Linked DNA regions of Anolis sagrei. The protein of the gene in region 2 purifies or fractionates together with the protein of the main gene of each other region. This does not show direct contact. Links are inferred from orthologs where the notes say so. Each region holds a gene or a part of one and is shown on either strand. Other genes may lie near its edges.

Region 1 (7,284 bases), about 81 Mb from region 2:
GGGGGCCACCACTGAGAAGGCCCTCTCTCTCGTCCCCACCAACCGTACTTGTGATGGTGGTGGGAACAAAAGGAGGGCCTTCCCAGAAGTTCATGCCGGTTCATAGAAGGAGATGCGATCGCAGAGATAGGCGGGGTCTGAACCGTTTAGGGCTTTATAGGTCATGACTTGCACCTTGAATTTATCTCGGCAATTTATCGGCAGCCAATGAGACTGTTTTAATAAGGGTATTGTATGCTACCTATAGTTTGCTCCAGTAAGGAGCCTGGCTGTTGCCCATTGTACCAGTTGAAACTTCCGGGCCGTCTTAAAGGACAGCCCCACATAGAGTGCATTGCAGTAGTCCAGTCTGTATGTAAACAAGGCGTGGACCACCCTGGCCAAGTCAGACTTCACGAGGCAGCAGCTGGTGCACAAGTTTGAGTTGTGCAAAGGCCCTCCCAGCCACCACCGACACCTGAGCATCAAGCAACAGCATTGAGTCCACGAGGACCCCCAAGCTACGGATCTGCGCCTTCTCTACCTAGGGTTGGCACCCATTCCTTTTCTTACAATTTGCATGGAGTTAAGAAAGAACCAGGCCCCTTTGGAGGCACAGCAGGTTAATCTGCTGAGCTGCTGAATTTGCTGACTGAAAGGTTGGTGGTTCAAATCTGGGGAGCAGGGTGAGCTCCCACTGTTAGGCCCAGCTTCTGTCAACCTAGCAGTTACCTGGGCATACAATCCAGACATCCCTGAAAAGAAAAGATGTAGGTGAAACAATTCATCTCACCTTCAGAAGCTCCAAAACCATTGGTGCCTCCTCTTCTCTCATTTCCCTGATGGCCAGTTGCTCAGGTTCCAGTGTAGGCATGCTGGCAGCAAACAGAAACAGCACCTGAAAGGAAAGAAATGTTGACCACGTTGATGAAAATTTGAGATGGAAGAAGAAAGAGCCTCCCATTGGCTTCATCTAAGTTATTAATAAAGATGTTGAACAGGCCCAGGACGGAGCCCTGCAGCACTCCGCTCATCACTTCTTTCCAGGATGAAGAGGAAGCATTGGTGAGCACCCTCTGGGTTCGTCTATTTAACCAATTACTGATCCACCTCACCGTAGTTTTGCCTAGCCCACATTGGAAGGTCATGGGGGACCTTGTCAAAGGCCTTACTGAAATCCAGGTACGCTACATCCACGGCATTCCCTGCATCTACCCAGCTTGTAACTCTATCTTACATACTCTTACATTGGAAAGACTACCAGTCCAACATCTCACCCTTTTATTATCTATTTTCCTATGGAAATGCATAGAATTCTAGGAGAGGTGAGCAAATGCTAACAAAAACATCTCAAATTAATTAATGCTGTATTTAATACTTTTCACAATACATACTGTATTGCGAACGTATTAAACAGGTACAGCTGAAAAGTGAATATTTTAGCTAAATAATTTGGGACAAATAATTTTATTTATTTTTTTGGATTTTTAACTTGGGAGCACTGACCACACAGGATCATCTTGAAAAGTAATGTGAAACAGAATATATGCAATGCTAACTTGATGGTTCGGTATCCCTTATTCAAAATCACTGGGACCAGAAGTGCTTTGAATTCTAGATCTTTTCAGATTTTGCAGTACAGTAGACCAGTGGTTCCCAACCTGTGGTCCATGGACCACCTGTGGTCCACAAGAATGAAAATATGGTATGCAGCCTCACCATTACTACACCATTGCCTCGAAATCACGTGGCAACAAGAGTGACTGGTCTCACGAAAACCCCTTATAGTGCCAATGCAACGGGCATGTTAGAAGGGGAGAGCTTGTGGTCACTAGTCATGTGTTCCCTGGTCAAAGTGGCCCCTGGTCAAAGTAGTCCCTGGTCATGTGGTCCATGGTCAAAGTGGTCCTTGGACAAGTGGTCCATGGTCAAAAAAGGGTTGGGAACTTCTACAGTAGTCTCTCAGTTAATTGGAACTCACGGGGATTGGTAGCTGTCTGGCTAAATGTAGTTGCAGTTGATTGAGAGTTACTATTAAAAATAGGCCTATATACTATACCCCATACTACTATCACGCCATAAACTCTGCATTGACTTTCATCTTAATACTAAAAGGCAGTAATTAAAAGCAAATGAAGACAAATAAAGACAAACTTATGTTAACAGGGTTTTACTGTATTCTAAAAATGCTTGCATACTTAAAGTATTTCTATTATTATTATTATTATTATTATTAGCAGTTGCTTGAGTTGCGGTCAATTGAGAGTCTACTATACTTGCAAATACAAAATGAAATATCTTGGGAAATCAGGCTCCATATGCCTTAGACATATAGGCTAAAGGTAAGAAAAAATTTTTTTATAATTTTGTGGAATAAAATAAGTTTTTTTAGACTGAACCATCAGAAAGCAAAGGCATCACTATCTCATGGGCAATTTTGGAGTATTTTAGGATAAGAGATACTCAAAATGTATGGTATTGCATAATCCTGTATGCATTATATTTAAATCATTGGATCCGCTTATTTACAGTTATGATCACTTTGTGCAGACAGCTCAGCATTAGCCCAAAATAGGGGATTCCCCCCCCCCCCCCCAATAAACAATGCTAGTGGATGAGAATGAAATAAAATAAAGGACTACCATGGGAAATTGCAATTTTATAATAAACCCCATTCTGCAATAATAAATCGACTTTGCAAAATATGGCCCATTAACAACCACAAAACGCCCTGCACAAAAATAGAAGCGCTCGATTTAGCACAGAACCCTTCACACTCCCCCCTCCCCGGACAATGGACTCACCCAGCCTGCAGAAAGGAGCTGCTCTCACCCCTCCAGAGCGACATGGAATTTCCCAGAGTCTCCCGAAGGCCCCGCCCCCATGGAGAGAGAGAGAGGGAAAAAAGAGGGAGGGGGGTGCCGACCCTCTCACTCCGACCGCTCTCGCCCTGCAGCAGGTGTGCTCTAGCGGTGTGCGCATGCGCCCCGTTTCCGGCTTCTCGCGCTCTTCTGTACCTTAGTAACAGTTGCTACGGGGACGAAACGAGGCCTCTTGAGCTGCGTGAAGCCTTAGCTGTAGTAGCTGGCACTTGTCAAGCATTCCCTTTTATGGTAGAGAAGGAGAGAACGCTGAAAGTGTTGAAATGAAGGCCCACACAGCTGTATAAAATCCACATTGAACTGGATTATATGGCAGTGTGAACTCAGATAACCCAATTCAAAGAAGATGTTGTGAATTGTATTGTCGAAGGCTTTCATGGCCGGAATCACTGGGTTGTTGTAGGTTTTTTGGGCTGTATGGCCATGTTCTAGAAGCATTCTCTCCTGACCTGACAACCTCTGAGGATGTCTGTCATAGATGCAGGCGAAACTTCAGGAGAGAATGCTTCTAGAACATAGCCATACAGCCTGAAAACCCCACAACTCATATTGTGGATTATCTGCCATAATATTCTGGATTATATGGCTGTGTGGAATATAGTTTGTCACAACCTCTGAAGATGTGGTTCAAAATATTTGTGGGGGGAAAAACATGGCACTGGCATTAGCATCTGCAACCAGTTTTGTTATGTCCCTTAAAAAATCAAATCTCTGCAGGTGATTTAAACGTTTTAAAGAGCTGCACAATGCTCCTATGTCATCAACTTCACTGAACTGGCCACATTGGCCAAATGGCCGATCATTATCTCCCAAAGCAGTTACTATACTCCTAACTCAATAATGGGAAATGTAATGTTGGTGGACAGGAAAAGAGATTTACAGAGGGGCTTAAAGCCAACCTTAAAAACAAACTGTGGCATTGACACCGAGAACTGGGAAGCCCCGACCCTTGAGCACTCTAACTGGAGGTCAGTTGTGACCAGCAGTGCTGCAGAATTCAAAGCACAAATGAAGGGCAAAAGGAAGAAACGTGTCAAGAGGAAGATGCGTCAAGCCAACCCTGACCAGGACTGCCTTCCTCCTTGTAATTGATGTCCACACTGCAGAAGAACATGCGGATCAAGAATAGGGCTCCACAGCCACCTATGGACCCACCACTAAGACTTGGAGGACCATAATCCTTGGGCTACAAGGGATCACCTAAGCAAGCAAGCTAGCATTGCCTCTGTATGGTCTGAATGCACCCTCCTGTGGCCAGAACCAGGTAGTGATTCATGTTGGTATCTTAAAAAGTTACTTTGTGGAAATCTGACATGCAAAAAAGGTAATGTCAGAAGCGGCTACTATGCTTTACCCCATCTTGCTCATATCTGTGAGATGTTACCTTACTCCGAAATGTCGCATTTAACATTTGCATAACATACACAGCCCATAGGAGAATTGGTTTAAGTGTTGTTCCTCTAAATGTGCTTTCCCCTAATTTTTAATGAAGAGTCAGTACAGTCTGTCCTTCACATTTGTGGTTTTAACTTTTGCAGATTTGATTATTCATAGGTTTGATAAAAATGTTATTTCTATGAATATCTAGATCCTCCAATGTGATGCTATATACAACTTCCAGTAGAGGTTGAGCAGAGTCATGCCAGGGGACACAGAAAATTTCTCTCAGGTAAGAAATTATCATTTTTAAAATGTGTGGCTTTTCAATTTCATAAGGATCTTGTGCCCCTCAACTCAGCAAATGGAGGGCTGACTGTGCTTTATAATAAATACTATTTATAAATGAGGAACACAAGATTTTTAACCAGCCAGAAATAGGAACGGCCACTCCAGGTTTTGACATTGGAGTTTTCAGAAAAAAGTCTGCTGCATCCATGCTGCACTTCATGAAATGTAGTCGTTATGCTGACACGTTTCCTGAATTGACCATAAGCTATTGAGACCTAAAATTGATCTGCCAGAAACCACTGGCCACACCAAAATAGCTATCCAAAAGCCCAAGACCTGCATCCACTTCAACTATTGGGCTTAATATAAGCTGCCAGCTGTGGGTTGTAATGGGATAGTAACTACTGCTGGGGGAAAAACCCAAAATAAGCACAGAAATGAACAGGAAAACCTGAATTACTAGGTTATGTTCTTAAATCTGGAAGGAATGTAAATTAAAGGATGCCTATAGGACTTAATTTGAGCCAAAAGGACTCTCCCCCCCCCCCCCCCCCGCCCTCCATCTTTTCCTATGCTTGGACTCACCGCTGGAACAAGTGAAGTTATATGAAGACAATACAATTCCTTACCATTGCCTGCACTGTACGTGACCAGTTGGTGCAATAGGAAAAAACATGTAAAGGGCCAAAAAGTTCCTTTTTGCTGCTTTGAGGCATATCGTGGAGTTTTCATCTCGTACATACCATTCTCTGAAGCATTTCTGAACACTCCTGCTTTCTGGTGTTTTCTTGTACATTCAGATCAGGATTTACTGGTAGATAAATATGTATTATTTGCAACAGCTCATGTTCCTTAATACCATGTAGAACTGCAATTTTAAAAACCATTTATTATATTCTGGCTTTGCAGTAATTGCTTACCTTAGTATTCTTCACCTGTAAATATTTTTGAGTTGGTCACCTTAATCACATTTTTGTGCTTTGAGATTTCTGCTTGCATATGCAAATTATCCCAATGTAGAGTATGTAAGATATAACTTGCTCTGACTTTTGAGATACCATTTTACATTTGGTTACCCTATATACTGATATAAATCTAGAAATGTTAATCAAAACATTCCAAAAAAACTCAGTCAACTTATTCACGGATCAATGTGAATACTGTAGCTCAATTCTCTTAATATACTCACCTACACAGCAATCCACAAAATGGTGATTTCAGCCAAATTCACTAGTCTTCTCTTGCAGTTCAGTCCCTCACTGAACTACAAATCCAAGGATTACTTAGAGCAGACTGCTACAATGGTATCAAACTGATATAATTGATTCTGTAACACCTCAGATTTTAAGGGAGCAGAAACCCATGTATTATTAGAGATGTGAACCCTGTCCATCCATGATACATTCAAGAACAGGACTGAAAGAAAGGCAAAAGTGCTTCAAATCAGTCTTTTATTTTTCTTCTTGGGCAAAAGAGTCTGTGGCCTGCTTGTGTTTGTTAGCACCAGGAACTGAGATCCACTGAGAAAAGTGGTTCTCCATATGGTGAAGATAGGGCTGGAATGGGGAAGAACAGACAAGAAGGACGTAAGTGAAAATGACCATATGACTGGGAAATGGAGCCTGTGACAAATTTATGAAACTGCCCCTCACCGCATCCAGACCCCATGGAAGACCTCCCCCCCCCCCCCAAAAAAACCCCAAAACGATCCATTGTTCAGTTACATAAAAGGAGTTTACACCATTACATAATGTTCCAGAGCATTCTGGTCTGATGCTGTGACATGGAAAGGAAATGTGAGAGAAGCCAGACATGCAGTTGCTTCCCACAGATCACATTTTCTGTTTTATGTGGCAAGAAACATGAAAGTCTTGGCTGTCTTAACCATCACATTGAATGTACATTTAGATCTTTGCAGAACAAAATATTTCAAGCACAGGGAAGCAGGGGTGGATCTGAGGCAGACAGAGTGCTCATCAGGTTACACTTTTCTTTCATGCAATATAGGGGTATACAAGTGCTTGGGCAGAGGATACCACTGTGGCTGCAGGGGCAGTAGAAGCAGCAGCATACCCATGAGCAGTCAGGGGAACAGCCATGAGCATGCTTTTGCGGAGAAAGACTTCATTGAGAAGAACCTAAACCAAGCTCACTGGGAGAGATGTCAATCCCATCCGTTGCCTAGAGAGAATCCACCCTGAGCAGCACTGATTCTAGCAACTGGTAGACCGGATCTGCTCCTCTTTGCTTACTTGCGAGACCTGATGCACTAGCACAACGTATGCAGAGACACATCCACTTTCAGAATGTGTGAACAAGCTGCATGCTGGGCACCGCCTGAACTATCTGAATGGAGGGCAGGCCTTGGGATGTTACTGGACTCTGCAGAAGCTGCACCATTTGGGAAGTGCTGTTGTTGTCGAGGGAAGGCTGTGTGCTGTCCGGACTGCTCACCTGCAGTGTAGGGACACTCTCTAACACTTGAAGAGTCTGTTCTCCCTGAGCACTGCGAATGATGAGAAGGTTCTGCCCAGACCCTGAGCTACCCTCAGAACCCTGCACCTGAAGGCCAGGAAGTTCCTGTACAGTCTGGATATCCTCTACTTCCTGCACACACAGCCGGGTCTGCTCCCCACCTGCACCCCTCAGCACCAAGACCTTTTGAAGCCCTTCCTCAGTCTGTAGTGTCTCAAAATGCATGTCCTGTACACCCTCAAGGCTTTCCACTTCAGCCCCTGGTCCTAACAGCTCATCT
Region 2 (7,005 bases):
TTCGTTTCTTTAAAGACCACTTGGAGTACTGCCACAACAGGCCCTGGCCCCATAAACCAGCACCCCATGACTAGGAGGTCACTATGAACATCATTTTCCATCTCTCTGATCTCAAGTACATTAGAAATGCTTTGGTTGGATTGCTGTCTAGCAGTTATGACATCACAAGACCACTTTAAGATATTGTAATTGCTGAATAGGACAAAAGCCCATATTTCTTTACCACCCAGGGCTTTTATGGCCCCTAGTATCAATATACCTGCTTCCCTCCAAAATTCCATGTTCATATACAGACATCACTTTCATGTACACATGAATCACTCAGTTGTGTGATGATGACCAATGCAGTCAGATTTTGCAGAGATGAATTCCATATGTTCACTCACATCAGTGATGTGCAAAAACATTGAAAAGAGGTCAGATCCACTGTACAGACAATTATGGCAATTTTCAAAATTGAAATCAATTTCCTGGTTGGGGGAGGAAGATTTAATCTGACATATCTATGGGGGATACATTCCTGGCCTTTGTGTGGATATGGAAAGCCACAGATAATAGCAAACTCTATTGAAATGAAGTACTTTCAGATCAATAATACCATAGAGTCACACTTAGGACCTAAAATGCCCAGGGAAGATATATTTTGATGAACATGAATATATGAAACCACACATACTAGTCTTATGGATATGTGGGTCACACTGTATATGCTTTGTACTTATGCATGTGGCTTCTAAACCCTCGTATTATTTATGGCATCATTTCTGAGTTGGCAGGCTTGCTTCATGCACTCCACCATCATTTTGTTTTGTGTGGGGAATAGATCCTTCCAGTAATAATGTGTCCCCATGGATCTAATTATAAGAGATATGCACATGGCACGCTGATAGCATAGGGGATATCTGAAGTGTGCAGGTTCATTTCTTTGTTCTTCATATTAGCTGTGCTTACTAAGAAGGCTCAAAGCTCATTTACTAAGTTCATCCAAAGAAGTTATTCACTGGATCAGCAACAGCAATTGTGAGTCTCTATTGGAAATCTGCACATTACCAAGGGAGGCATCATTAAAATATCATCTCCCACGCCACCCTCTAAATAAAGCTAAGCTCTTTTGCTGAGCAGGCAGTACACAAAGAAGGCTTTCTGTTGCTAGCCAAGGACAGAGTTTGACAAATCTTGTTAATATTCTCATATTGTTCAGTTACTAAAAGTGGCAAAAAAGGAGCCACTCTGGAAAGACATGACTTGCTTTGGAATGCTTCATCTATGTTTTTCTTATTCTATTTATTTGTATTTATACTTATATGGGCCCTGAGCGGAGTACAGATGTCAAGGATTATAACAACCAAGCGTCCTGTTTATTTAAGCTCCCTGAGAAACTATCCCTTGAGGAACTAGTTACAGTTTGAAAGAGCTACATGAACCATCTACTCCACTCCAACCCCTCACCATCCACAACATACAACTAAAGCACTCGTAAAAGATGCCTCTCCAATCTATGTTTAGAGGCCTCCAAAGATGGAGAGTTGGCAGTAAGGACATTCTTCCTAATATTTAGGTGGAACTTCTTCATATAATTTGAATCCATCTTCTACATAACAAACCATCAGATACTTAAAGATAGTTGAAAATCTGGCAAAATGTCATGTAGTCGTGTAGTTGTACCAATCAGAAGTGTTTAAGTTTACAGCCATTGTTGTCAACTTTAACTTACGGTGATTCTATGAATGAGAAACCTTCAAGCCACCCTATCCTTAATGGCCTTGTTCAGGTCTTGCAGACTTGGCCATGGCTTCCTTGATTGAGTGTATCCATCTGGAATGTGGTTTTCCCCTTTTCCTACTGCCGGCTACCTTATCAAGCTATTGCATCCACTTGAAAACAATAGTACCCGTGCCTCCTGCAAGTTTACTGAGTCCTTGGGGTCATAAGTATATTTACATTTACAGAAAACCTTGTGTGAAGGAGCACTAGTTGTCTTAAAAAAAACTATAAATGCAGTCTGGTGGCTTTTATGTCTGTGGGGTGATGACTTCATTTTGAGTTTGTGTATATGCTTAACAAATTTGCCTGTGTGACCTGAGTGGAGCTGAATAATCATGATTCTTAGAATGCTGAGGGAAATGGGGGCAAAGAGAGAACATATAGAAGGAGAGGCTTGGCTGTTCACAAACTGGAGGCAGAGAGATCAAAACAGAGATTTAGTGGGAACTGATGGGATCATATAAAGAGGTGAATAGGAAGACCATGTAAGGAGTTGAGTAAGGGCTTAAGGGGAAAACTTTTAAATAGATAGTAGAGTGATACTGAAATAAACACAGGGTCAACTTACATGCTGCTTGAAGTTTGAATCTTTTCTTCTGAAATAAATCTTCCTTCTTATATCAGTTTACATCTCTATCTAGAAGCCTGTTATAAAAGGAGTTACAGGGTTCAGCAATTACTATCACAAGTTCAGCAGAAAACAGATTTGGCTGTTCAGTTTTATAGTCAGTTGCTAAACCCAGTGAATGGATTGTGGGGGCTAAGTGCATGATAGGATCCCAAATAGAAGTTTTTAGGTCAGCAACCTGAGGAGGAAAACTATCATGGGATACAGGCATGTAGCCGGGGGGGGGGGGGGGGCTCGGGGGGCTTCAGCCCCCCCCCCCCCCGAAATTCTCATGGTGGTTCGTGAAAAGGCCTTACTGGTGCATTATTTAAACTGTTATGTTTATTAATATCATGATTTGATCACCATTCTCAATATATCCCATATGTATGGGAGTATTGGGGTAATGATACTAAAGGTTTGCTAGGCTAGACCCTCTTTCACTCAGACTCACCCCCCCCGAAACTCAGCCCCCCCCAACCCCCCCCCTGAAATTTTTTTAGCCCCCCCCCCCCCCCGAAACGGAATCCTGGCTACGGGCCTGATGGGATAGATAGTGTTTGGTACCTTGAGAAGTTCCTTTAAAACAAAAATCTGCAGTGAATTCACATCTCCACTAATTCAGAGCCTTCATCACAAACCTATAAATATAATCAACTTTCATATTAGGTCCACTGGAAATTAAACAATTTCAAAACCATACTGGAAAATTATCTATTTTCCTTTATTTTTATTTAGTCTCAGGGTGAGCAAAACTACCTGAGGCAAACAACAAGATGGCATACCCTGCCCCAAGCCACTTACCACAATACAAGCCCCAAAACTTTATATTAGCAAAGCTGATGGTTAACGTTAGGTGGTGCGCTAATCAATTGAAACCAAAATTGATAGTATGACCTCTTGGCCAGTGAACATAACACACGAACACACAATCTTCTCTGATTAAGGAGATTTGAGAAGATCTAATACTGTGGGCCCTTAGTATACTATCAGCTAAGGTTTGGAAACAAGATCTTCCATGGATACCAAAATCTATGCCCAAGTCTCATTATATACAATGGCATGGTTAAATTGTGATCCCCAAATAAAACGGCAAAAACAAGGTTTGCTTTTAAGGGTATTTTGTTTAGTATTTTCGAACAGAAGATAATTGAATCCATGCATACAGAATCTATGGATAGGGAGCACCAACTATATAGAGAGTACCCTTCCTCTCTAAAGTTTCCTTCCTTAAAATGTGGGTGGGGAATCTACTTCCACAAAGTAACAGAAAATAGTTTCAAACATTTTTTTTCAGTTGTAAACAAGAGAAAACAATTTGCAACATAGGAGAGACACAGTAGTTTCAAATCTGTTGATTTTATCAACTTTTTTGTTCATTTCTGCATTAAAAGTATCAGCTTTTGCTTGATTAAGAGATATTAGCATAACATATACACTTAAAATAGTTAACTGCACATGTTTTGTAATGTGATTTCTAAAACTTGCCAGGAAGAGCTTGGTACAAATGTCAATCCACCTCCATTGTTACCTTAAAGTGCAGCCTTCCCCATAGCAACCAGAAACTTTTCGAAGCAGAAATAAACTAATCCTCCAGCTTGTGAAGCACCATCAAGGAATTTTAAAAACATTGGACTTCCCGGCAGCAAAACACTCTGTGGGATTCAAAAGACTGGAGAGTCAAAGGTATACAATCCTCCCCCTCCCCCTTCACAGAAGGTAAGAGGAAAGAATGCAAAAGTGAGGTTTCCTTCTAATCCTTCTTCCTATTGCTAACTTCTTTCTTAACATTGGGCTTACTTTCAAAGTATTTCAAAGCATTTTTTAAACCATCACAGGCTCCACACAGTGTTAACATTTCATTTGATTGTAGGCCAAGTGCTGCTTTGGCAGACTTTCATTACCTTGGTTTTTTTCCCCACAGCCTCTTAGCTTAGCTTTATTAAGCAAGAAAACCTACATTTGTTTGCAGGTCTGATGCGTGAACTGGATACCAGACATGGATGCTGTACAGATGCTGATTTCTAAGATTTTTTAATGTAAAATAGGTGACACCTCCTAACCAAAATAAGTACGGTAGTTTGCATTTTCATCTGGCAGCGATACTGTAATGGGATAGAGGGCAGGTTCGGTAATAATGTCTTCTGTAGCATCCTCAAATAAATTTGGTGTATGTTGTATTGTTTGAATTGTCATCAGTTAACTTTGACATTAAGTTTACGGGGGGGGGGGGCAGGATGATATCTTTGCATGGTGTTACTTTCAGCAAGGCAATAAAATTATTACATATAGTATAAAATGAATATCAAAACAAACAGAAACAGACCAGCAGAAAAATGATCCTGCAGATATGCAATGGCATGACAACGTTAGTAGTAATATTAACAGCTTCACTTGCCATTTAAGTTGTTGAGGCATTTTCCATTTTCCCCAAATATCCTCTTATGACAAATCATTGTGTATTGCTGAAAAAAGCTGTCCCATCCCCACTCCTCTAAAGCTTTTTTGGACCAAAGTAAAGAAAGGGATGGGAAAATGTTATTTCTAGTAATTTCTTGAACTTTGCAATTTTGTGAGAGAGGGGGGACATTTAAACTGCAATAGCTGCAAAGATTGTCATTTTCTACACATGCAGCAGAATGTTGTGGTATTTTCAATTGTACAAGATGATCCCTATGTATTTTCAAACACAAAAATCAATAGAAAAAAGCAGGGATAGAACTGTTTCCCCCAGTTTTCTTACTTCTCTTCCTTCCACAATGCAGCATTCTGAAAACCTACTGGTAGTTTGAAATTGGCAACTCCATTGCATCATCTCAGCATCCTACAGTGTCATCATGTGTCTGCCCAAGGATCAAAGTGAGGGAATCCATGGCTCTCCAGAACTTGCTGAACAACAGTTCCCATCTGCACTATGATGGAAGCAGCCATTTATTAATAAGCTAGGACAGCGTTTCTCAATCTGGGGATCAGGACCCCTGGGGGGGGGTCATGAGGGGGTGTCAGAGGGGTCACCAAAGACCATCAGAAAGCACAGTATTTTCAGTTGGTCATGGGGGCTCTGTGTGGGAAGTTTGGCCCAATTCTATCATTGGTGAAGTTCAGAATGTTCTTTGATTGTAGGTGAACTATAAATCTCAGCAACTACAACTCCCAAATGTCAAGGTCTTTTGTCTTTTCCCCAAACCCCACCAGTGCTCCCATTTGGACATATTGAGAATTCAAGCCAAGTTTGGTCTTGATCCATCATTGTTTGATTCCATAGTGCTCTCTGGATGTAGGTGAACGAAAACTCCAAAAACTCAAGGTCAATGCACACCAAATGTGACGGCGCGTGTGGCGCCTCATTTATTTGGAACTGTTAGTTGCAGGATTTTTAAACTGCCATTTTATTTCTGTCTACCTTGTACATGTATAGTTAAATTTCATTGGTTACTATAGCTGTCAATTTATTGTTGTTGTTCACCAATTGGTTTGTTTCCCCAGTTCAGTTGTTTAGGCTCCGCCCCTTCCAAGGGAGAAAGGGAAGGTTTCTCCCTCACCTTTTTTACCTCAGTAAAAGACTCATTGGATGGACGTGTCCAAAAGCTTGGCCCAAAAGCCCCTGGTCAAGGCATTTTTTACTATCAGTTCTTAGGTTTATTTTCCCTGAGTCTTATTCTTTATGTTCAGACCACCCTGAATAGAATTGTGAAGATCTCAGGCGCCTTCACACCGGTTCTGTGGCACCATAGGAAGGTCTTGTCCTTCAGCTTAGGCCACTGAACTGGGGTTGTGGTTTGCTCCGGCATCCATAGCCATTGAGAGAGAGGGAACAGGAAAAGCTTCTCAGCTTGTTACTCCTGGGACCCTGGACTTAGAGTTTATAAAGTATCTTTTCCCAGTTGAAACATAAAGTTTGTGTCAAAGAAAGAGAACTGTTAACAATAAACATCATTTTGAGTTAACTGTTGTGTTCTGGTCCTTGGGAGTTCCAGTTTCCCTAAAGGAGGGCAAGAAAGCAATCCCCTGGGGAAAGCAGTCACGTCCATGCCTCTTTCTCTATAGCCCCAGGCGCGACGGCACACCAAACCTTTCCAGCATTTTCTGTTGGTCATGAGCATTCTGTGTGCCAAGCTTGGTTGGATTCCATCATTAGTGGGGTTCAGAATGCCCAGCAACTACAACTCCCAAATGACAAAATCAGTTGTCATCGCGCCCCCCCCCCCCAACTCCACTAGTATTGAATTTTGGGCATATTGGGTATTTGTGCCAAATTTGGTCCAGTGAATGAAAATATATTTAGCATATCAGATATTTACATTACGATTCATAACAGTAGCAACAGAAATAATTTAAAGTTTGGGGGTCACCATAACATGAGGAACTGTATTAAGGGGTCGTGGTATTAGGAAAGTTGAAAACCACTGACCTAGAAGGAGGAAGGTTGACAGCCCTTCCCTAGATGTTCCAATACTAGAGTAGAATCTGTGTATGGCTTCCTTGGTTCAGTAGCTCATAAATTCTCCTTACTGAATGTTGGAAACTGGTTTGTAAGCATGTTAACTCCACCGGTAATAAGCAGTCTTCATTGAATTTTTCTAGTGTTCACAGTATGCAGCTAAAAAGAAATCATTAACCTTCCCCTAAACATA
Region 3 (7,160 bases), on a different chromosome or scaffold from region 2:
TGTCAATGTTTAAAACAGCTTAAATCTGCATACCACAAAGAAACCAATAAGCCTTCACTAAATTAAAATCGTGTTCTCATACATTGAGAAACTTTCCAATATGTCCTGCATGGACTTAAATGAGACAAAACTAAAGGATTTTTGAAGATTACACAGAGACCTGTACATAAACATCTACAAAATATTCACTATCCAAATTCAAGAAGAATAATCCAGAAAAATTAGAATCCTTTGCAATCTGTGTAAATTTAATAATCCAATGAAGAAACATACATGAATCTGATGGGATGGCATTTTTTTTACATTTGACAAAGCAGGGCATAAATATTTGATGGAAGTTAAATATTTAAATAGGTAAAAAAACAAATCAACATTAATTTCAGTACCATGAGAAAGAAAAATGTGGGAACTGTAGTGTAGATAAGTGCTAAAATTGGCAAATGATTATCAAAATGTTTTATAGCTGTGAGAAAGCTTCTTTCTTTTGTATGTGTTCTCCAACTATCATTTTTTCAGGCAAGCTTTCAAAGATGAAGGCTTTTAAGATCAAGTCAGGAAGTGCTATGGTTTTAACTTGAATATGCATTGAATATGTTGAGTCCCCTTCAGGAGAAATAAGCGGGGTATAAATAAATATAATAATAATAATAATAATAATAATAATTCGCTTGACTAATGTTATACATAGAGGAATGTGACTAATGTGTTGTTAAGCGGCTGAGGGGGAAAAGGAAGGGGTCTGAAGCTGTTAGGAATGGTGGGAGTTGGAAGTCCAAGACACCTGGAGGGCCCAAGTTTGTCCAGGCCTGCTTTAGATCAAGAGGCATGAATTATGCCCAAAATTATCCAGTTTGGTCTTGGGCTCAATTCCAAATGTTGGTTATGCTTTAAGAAGTTCTATATGCCTTAGGTCCAGACTATCACAAAGATATATCTTCCTATCTCTGGTCTGTTCTCCAGTCCCCACATCCACAAAGATATAATACTACTACTACTACTAATAATAATAATACAAAAGAATGATACGAAGAAGAAGAGGAGGAAGAAGACCTAAGCGGCTGAGGGGGAAAAGGAAAGGGCCTGAGGCTGTTAGGAATGGTGGGAGTTGAAGTCCAAAACACCTGGAGGGCCTCAGTTTGCCCAGGCCTGTTTTAAATTAAGAGGCATGGCATTATTATGGTTTAATGTGTACAACAGTTTTAAATGGTATTTATATGCTTATTGTTTCTAGTGATTTTGTTATGTTTTATATGGTTATTGTATAATGAGGCATTGAATTTTTGTCTAGATGTATGATGTATGCCGCTCTGAGTCCCCTGAGGGATGAGAAGAGCGGGATAGAAATGAAGTAAATAAATAAATTATGCCCAAGATTATCCAGTTTGGTCTTGGGCTCAATTCAAAATGGGTTGTTGTAGGTTTTTCCAGGCTATATGGCCATGTTCTGGAGGCAATTTTTCTCCTGACTTTTCGCCTGCATCTATGGCAAGCACCCTCAGAGGTAGTGAGGTAGACCTGTCCAGAGGAGAGCGACTAAAATGATAAAAGGTCTGGAGAACAAGCCCTATGAGGAGCGGCTTAAGGAGCTGGGCATGTTTAGCCTGAAGAAGAGAAGGCTGAGAGGGGATATGATGGCCATGTATAAATATGTGAGAGGTAGCCACAGGGAGGAGGGAGCAAGCTTGTTTTCTGCTTCCCTGGAGACTAGGACGCGGAACAATGGCTTCAAACTACAAGAGAGGAGATTCCATCTGAACATGAGGAAGAACTTCCTGACTGTGAGAGCCGTTCAGAAGTGGAACTCTCTGCCCCGGAGTGTGGTGGAGGCTCCTTCTTTGGAAGCTTTTAAACAGAGGCTGGATGGCCATCTGTCAGGGGTGATTTGAATGCAATATTCCTGCTTCTTGGCAGGGGGTTGGACTGGATGGCCCATGAGGTCTCTTCCAACTCTTTGATTCTATGATTCTATGACCTCACTACCTCTGAGGATGCTTGCCATAGATGCAGGCGAAACGTCAGGAGAAGAATTGCCTCCAGAACATGGCCATATAGCCCGGAAAAACCTACAACAACCCAGTGATTCCGGCCATGAAAGCCTTCGACAATCAATTCAAAATGTCGGTTATGCTTTATTAAGTTCTATATGCCTTAGGTCCAGACTATATGATTGTATCTTCCAAACTTTGGTCCGTTCTCCAGTCCCCACCTCCACAAAGATATAATAATGCTAATAATAATACAAATATATATATATATATATATACTAAGAAGAAGAAGAAGACAACGACCTAAGCGGCTGAGGGGGGAAAGGAAAGGGCCTGAGGCTGTTAGGAATGGTGGGAGTTGGGGTCCAAAACACCCGGAGGGCCCAAGTTGGCCCAGTCCTGGCTCTGGCCTAAGCCCGTTCAATTGTTATGAGGCAGAGCCAGAGCAAGAATCAAGGCAACGGGGGAAAAGGCCTGGACGCCGACCCACCCCCTGGCGCACCTGAGGCAGCCCTTCCTGGGCCTGCAGTCGGCGAAGGCAATGCGGCAAAAGGCGAGGAAGGGGCCCGGCCGCCCTTTCAGGCAGGACTCCATCGCCTAACGGATCCTGCCTAGAATGGTCCTTCCTCCATTATCAGAACAGCGCCAAGGGCATTTCGCAGGGGCGATGCGACGGTTGCCATGGCGACCCGAGGGCCCGGATGATGGGGGGGGGGATAGAGAGAACAGCGAGTGGGCCGCCCGTTGCCGTGGAAACGCGGCCTTCACTCTCTCACTCACTCTCTCTCCTCTGAAGCCTTACCTGCCGAGCGTCCGCTTCATGCCGTCGCTGCCCGGCAAACGCAGGCTCGTCCTCAGGCTGAAGCCCTTCTCCAGAGGCTCATGCTCCAACGTGACGGACTCGTTCCGCTTTCTCATCCCGGCGAGGAGGTTCCCACCAGCAGCAGCGGCAGTAATACCAAGCAAGCCCAGACTCGCTCTGAGGGAAGACGCTCTCCGCCGCTACATCCTCTCAGCCCAGCAACAGGGCAGGGCGAGTGAGAGGCACCTCCCAGGCTCCACCAATCAGAAGCGGTTCCCCCCCCAGCCACGTGACCTGCCTCCCTCCCTGCCTCAGCCCAGAGAGAGGAGGCACTGCCGCTTGACTGCCCGGGACCAAGGTGGCCGCCGAAGCCTCAGCGTTGTCACGTGACGTCCCAGCCCGGGACCAAGATGGCCGCCGAAGACTCAAGAGCTCAAAGGAAAACAAAACGTCACCTATCTTTTCCCTTCAAGCCTTCACCAAACAGACTTTTATCCTTCCAATAAGTGTTTTTCTTCCTGTCATAAAGCAGCATTTTAAAATTATATAAAATATCATTCATTGAAAATCCCAGCCACTGCTCAAGTGAGAATATATTATAAACTATTATTTCATACTTTACTACAATGATTTTTTGATGACATATATGTATGTATATATATGTGTGTTCACTCGCTGGAACACCTCAGCAAGCAAGAGTCCAAAAGTGGCAGGCTCAAACCCAGCACTTCAACCAATGGCTGATACCAAATGAGAAACTCCCTCCTGGGCACACAGAAGACTGGGCAACTTGGAAGGCATTGAACAGACTGCGCTCTGGCACCGCGAGATGCAGAGCCAACCTTCAGAAATGGGGCTACAAAGTAGAATCCTCGACATGCGAGTGTGGAGAAGAGCAAACCACTGACCACCTGCTGCAATGCAACCTGATGCAGAGCATCTTCCCCCCCAAGCATTTGTAGTTCGCCAAGGGCCAGACAATGGATTCTGCTGCTTCCTGACCCAGCACACATAACTGGGTTCCTGTTTCCTCTCTGTGAATTCTCTGGCTTGTGCACTGGACCCTGGCCCAAAGATCAGGGAAATGTAGTTCTCCAAAGGACATTGCCCCACTCTCCACCATTTGCGGATTCCTTGAGGACTTTCTCTGCCCTCTCTGACTGACTTGGTGCCCTAGCGTCACGGACTTCCTCTATGAACTCCAAACCAAGCCGCTTGAGAAGCATGGCCCCCGCCTGTGGGTGCATGCCCTTGTTGCAAAGGATCATACCTCAGGAACTCTGCTGATTGCCTTTATTAAATTGCTGTGGGTTTTCTAATAAACTTTGCTGGGATGGGGAGGGGATGGGGACCCTTTTCATGAAATCTATGAGTTATGAAAGACTGTAAAGAATATATGTATGAAGTGTGTGTAATATGGAATGTAATGGAATGAGGTGCACCCTCACCCTTTCCTTGCCTTTCCCCTCTTGAACTTTACCCTATAAAAGAATATGTGACCAGGGGATTACAGTTAAGGAAATCCAATTTCCTTGGAAGGAACTCCATTCATATTGACATTGCATGGAAAATACTGGCAAATCTATGGCTTCGTTTTTCAGAGTTCAGACAAACAAAAGCCAGAGATTTTGTCAGCCAAAAGCCCGGAAAAACAGACTGATAACACCAATTGTGGTGTTTGTGCATGCTCCCTTGTGACAAAGGATCTCTTTGCCCACAAGGTTGAAGATCCAGACACCACCCATAGCCACCCTTTTTGCCTATACACATCTTTTATCAGGACCCAGGAAATCCCTTGTTCTCCCCATCCGCCTCCCTGCCGTGAAGAGATAAAAGGTGTTCCATCAGCTGGCAGACGCCTCCCAGGCATTCCGCCCCTCTGCGCTGTCAAACTAGAGCCCGCCTCCTGGCCGCTGATTGGACAATCTCTGGAGGCGCTCCGAGGGCTCTGATTGGCCCTCTGGAGGCAACAGCGGCCGGCGATTGGAGGGAGGGTGGGACCAGCGGCCAAGCCTCCTCCCAGCTGTTCCAGAGCCGGCCAACCAGGACAGAGGGGACTGACAGGAGGCGGGCGGGAGATTCAAGCCAGGATTCCTTTGTTCTGTCTGTATAAATATGCCTGAAAATCACTGTACTGTATGCTTATAGAGGAAATATCCCTGTAATGCATCCTTTTCAGCTGAATCGCTAAATAAACGCCTCGGTCGCAGATTGCCTCTTCAGCCTCTGGCGAGATTGATTTTCAACGTTTTTGCGTTTTTTTGAATTGGCATCCGCTGGCCGCTCGCCAAGGTCAGGACCCCATTCGAGGTCCTTTGGGTCTCCCCTCGCTGGGAGAACCCCCCAAAAGAGCTCGATATCATTTGGCTTTACCACGAAGGGACTGCTGCTTGAGGTTCCAGACTAAATTATAGCCTAAATTCTCAAGCAGGCGCCTTGGTCTGATTCTTTGGGCCAGCAGCGAAGGAGGAACGGCTTGGGAAAAGAGGCGCCTCTCCCAATTCGGACTTTCATTTGACCAGCTAACCAAAACTACAAATTCTCCCGCAGCCACTTCCTCCCAAGCTCTGACCTAGGGTTTCAGCACAAAGGAGCGCCAGGGAAGCCTTGATCTAAGGACTTCCAGGAAGAGGAGCGACCGACGCGGAAAGGGGGGAAGAAAACGTCCGGACGGGTAAGAAGCCAACCGCGGGCTGCCTTGGCTGCCAGGTGGGAGGGGATTCTAGGCTTTCTGAACCAGCTTCGGAGTCGGCCCACTGGGGAGGGATTCTCTAGGTCTCGGTAACAAATTCCTGGCGGGAGGTAGCGAACATCCACGTTTGAGGCCTAGAATAGCAACTCAGCTCGCTTTTGCGGCCTTGGCTGGAGCTACGCTGGAGAGGGAGCCCTTCCCTTTCGGACTGCCTAGCTGCCAAGGGCTGATCGCCTCGGGCTCTCTTGCTAGGGGACCGTTCAGGCTCTAGCCTGCCAGCGGTTGGGGGGGCTACCCTGATTAGCCACTTCAGTGTGGGGCTATCAAGAGAGATGGGCGCATGTTATTCTGGGATCAAACGTCCTGCTTCATCAGAAACATCTTTTGGGAAGATACTGGCGGAATGGGGCAGGGTTGCGTCGCCGACGCAGGCCAGTAGGGTAAAAAAATCGCATGGAGAGGTGGCCCTCCGGGCCCTCAGCAGGTGGAGTTTCGTGGCCCCTCATGGCAGTCGGATCGCTGTGAGGGGGCCAAGAGGGCCGAAACCGCCTTTGCCTCATGCTTTTTTACCATGTGCCGGTGGGAGGCGGAAGGGGGGTAGCTGCGACCAACTCCGACCATGCAAGGGGAAGGTTACAGAGCCCCAACCCCCAGGAAACCCCCTCCAGACCCCTTCACCCTCTCCCTTTGGAAGAAATTGCTTATTCCCCTACCATCCCATTCCCATTTCCCTTTACCCAATCTCCCTGACTCCCTCCTTCCCTTCCCAACCCCTCCATTTCCCTATTCCCTATTTATGATATGTCTGCATTTATATGCCCCTCTGTTTGTTGTTTTTTTTCTGCTCCTTGAGGAAATGATCAGGGAAATTCTTTGCTCTCCTCCTCTCCTGCTTTCTCCTGTGCCACCTTTTTCCTTCCTTCAGATGGAAAAGGGAGGCATTGCTCATTCCCTCCTTCACCAAGCCACTACATCCCTTTCTTTCAAAAGCTGAATCTTCAGTGCCTGTTTATTTATAATAAACAGTGTTTCCCCTCACCAGGAGAGACCCTGCCACTGATGTGACTCAGCTGCCTTGCAAAAGTCTCTCTCTCTCGCCTGGTTTCCCTGAACCAAGAGCTCTCTCCCTCTCCCCCTCTCTTCTGTGCAACTACAAAACCCATTTTCAGGGGCAGTCACCAATGTCCCTGCCTTTCCTTTGTTTTTCTCTTCACTCTCCAACTCCCCCTTTTTGCTTTCAAACCCCTCCTCCCTCTCTCCTCTTGCAAACAAAGGGAGGTGTAAAGGGGGGGGGGGGACCTTTTTCCTGCTCCTGTTTCCTTTTGCCAAATAAAGTTTGCTGGGTTTCTCTCTCTCCCTCTCTCTCTCTCTCTCTCTCTCTTTCTCTCTCTCTCCCTCTCTCTGCTTTTCCCCTTTTCTCTCTAAGAACCAGACCTCACCAAAGAATTCCATGTGCTTGTGAAATGTCTCTGAAACCCATCCTTTCTCTCTCTCTCTCTCTCTTCTCCCTCCCCTCCCATCTTCTAAGAGGCCAGTATTCTGTGAATTCTTTCCTCTATCTCCCAGAGAAATCCTGCTGCTCCCTCTTACCTCCTTCTTCAAAACCCTAAGGAAGGGATGTTCCAGAAGCATTCCCTCCTGACATTTCACCCACATCTATGGTTAAGTCTCTCTCTCACAC

What was found.
Region 1: the proteins of SLC39A12 (region 2) and NAT14 purify together in Homo sapiens (co-immunoprecipitation; 3 studies listed by BioGRID and IntAct, counting the BioPlex papers as one, with this or other methods). This does not show direct contact. The link is inferred for Anolis sagrei from reciprocal best matches to the Homo sapiens genes SLC39A12 and NAT14.
Region 3: the proteins of SLC39A12 (region 2) and ABHD12 purify together in Homo sapiens (co-immunoprecipitation; 3 studies listed by BioGRID and IntAct, counting the BioPlex papers as one, with this or other methods). This does not show direct contact. The link is inferred for Anolis sagrei from reciprocal best matches to the Homo sapiens genes SLC39A12 and ABHD12.

What each region holds. Positions count from the first base shown.
Region 1 is NC_090026.1:25,166,192-25,173,475, reverse strand, and holds the start of NAT14 (probable N-acetyltransferase 14), read right to left. Parts: upstream 3,106-7,284; 5' UTR 2,784-3,105; intron 878-2,783; 5' UTR 854-877; coding exon 773-853; intron 1-772. Other genes in the region: ZNF628 (zinc finger protein 628), read right to left, coding at 6,831-7,284. UniProt on the Homo sapiens protein: Probable acetyltransferase. May act as a transcription factor that regulates the expression of coproporphyrinogen oxidase by binding to a promoter regulatory element.
Region 2 is NC_090026.1:106,344,491-106,351,495, forward strand, and holds the start of SLC39A12 (zinc transporter ZIP12), read left to right. Parts: upstream 1-3,928; 5' UTR 3,929-4,090; intron 4,091-7,005. UniProt on the Homo sapiens protein: Uniporter that promotes Zn(2+) import from the extracellular space to the cytoplasm across the cell membrane. The transport activity is temperature dependent. May play a role in neurulation and neurite extension.
Region 3 is NC_090021.1:21,791,653-21,798,812, forward strand, and holds the start of ABHD12 (lysophosphatidylserine lipase ABHD12), read right to left. Parts: upstream 3,059-7,160; 5' UTR 2,904-3,058; coding exon 2,788-2,903; intron 2,625-2,787; exon of another isoform or gene 2,580-2,624; coding exon of another isoform or gene 2,488-2,579; intron 1-2,487.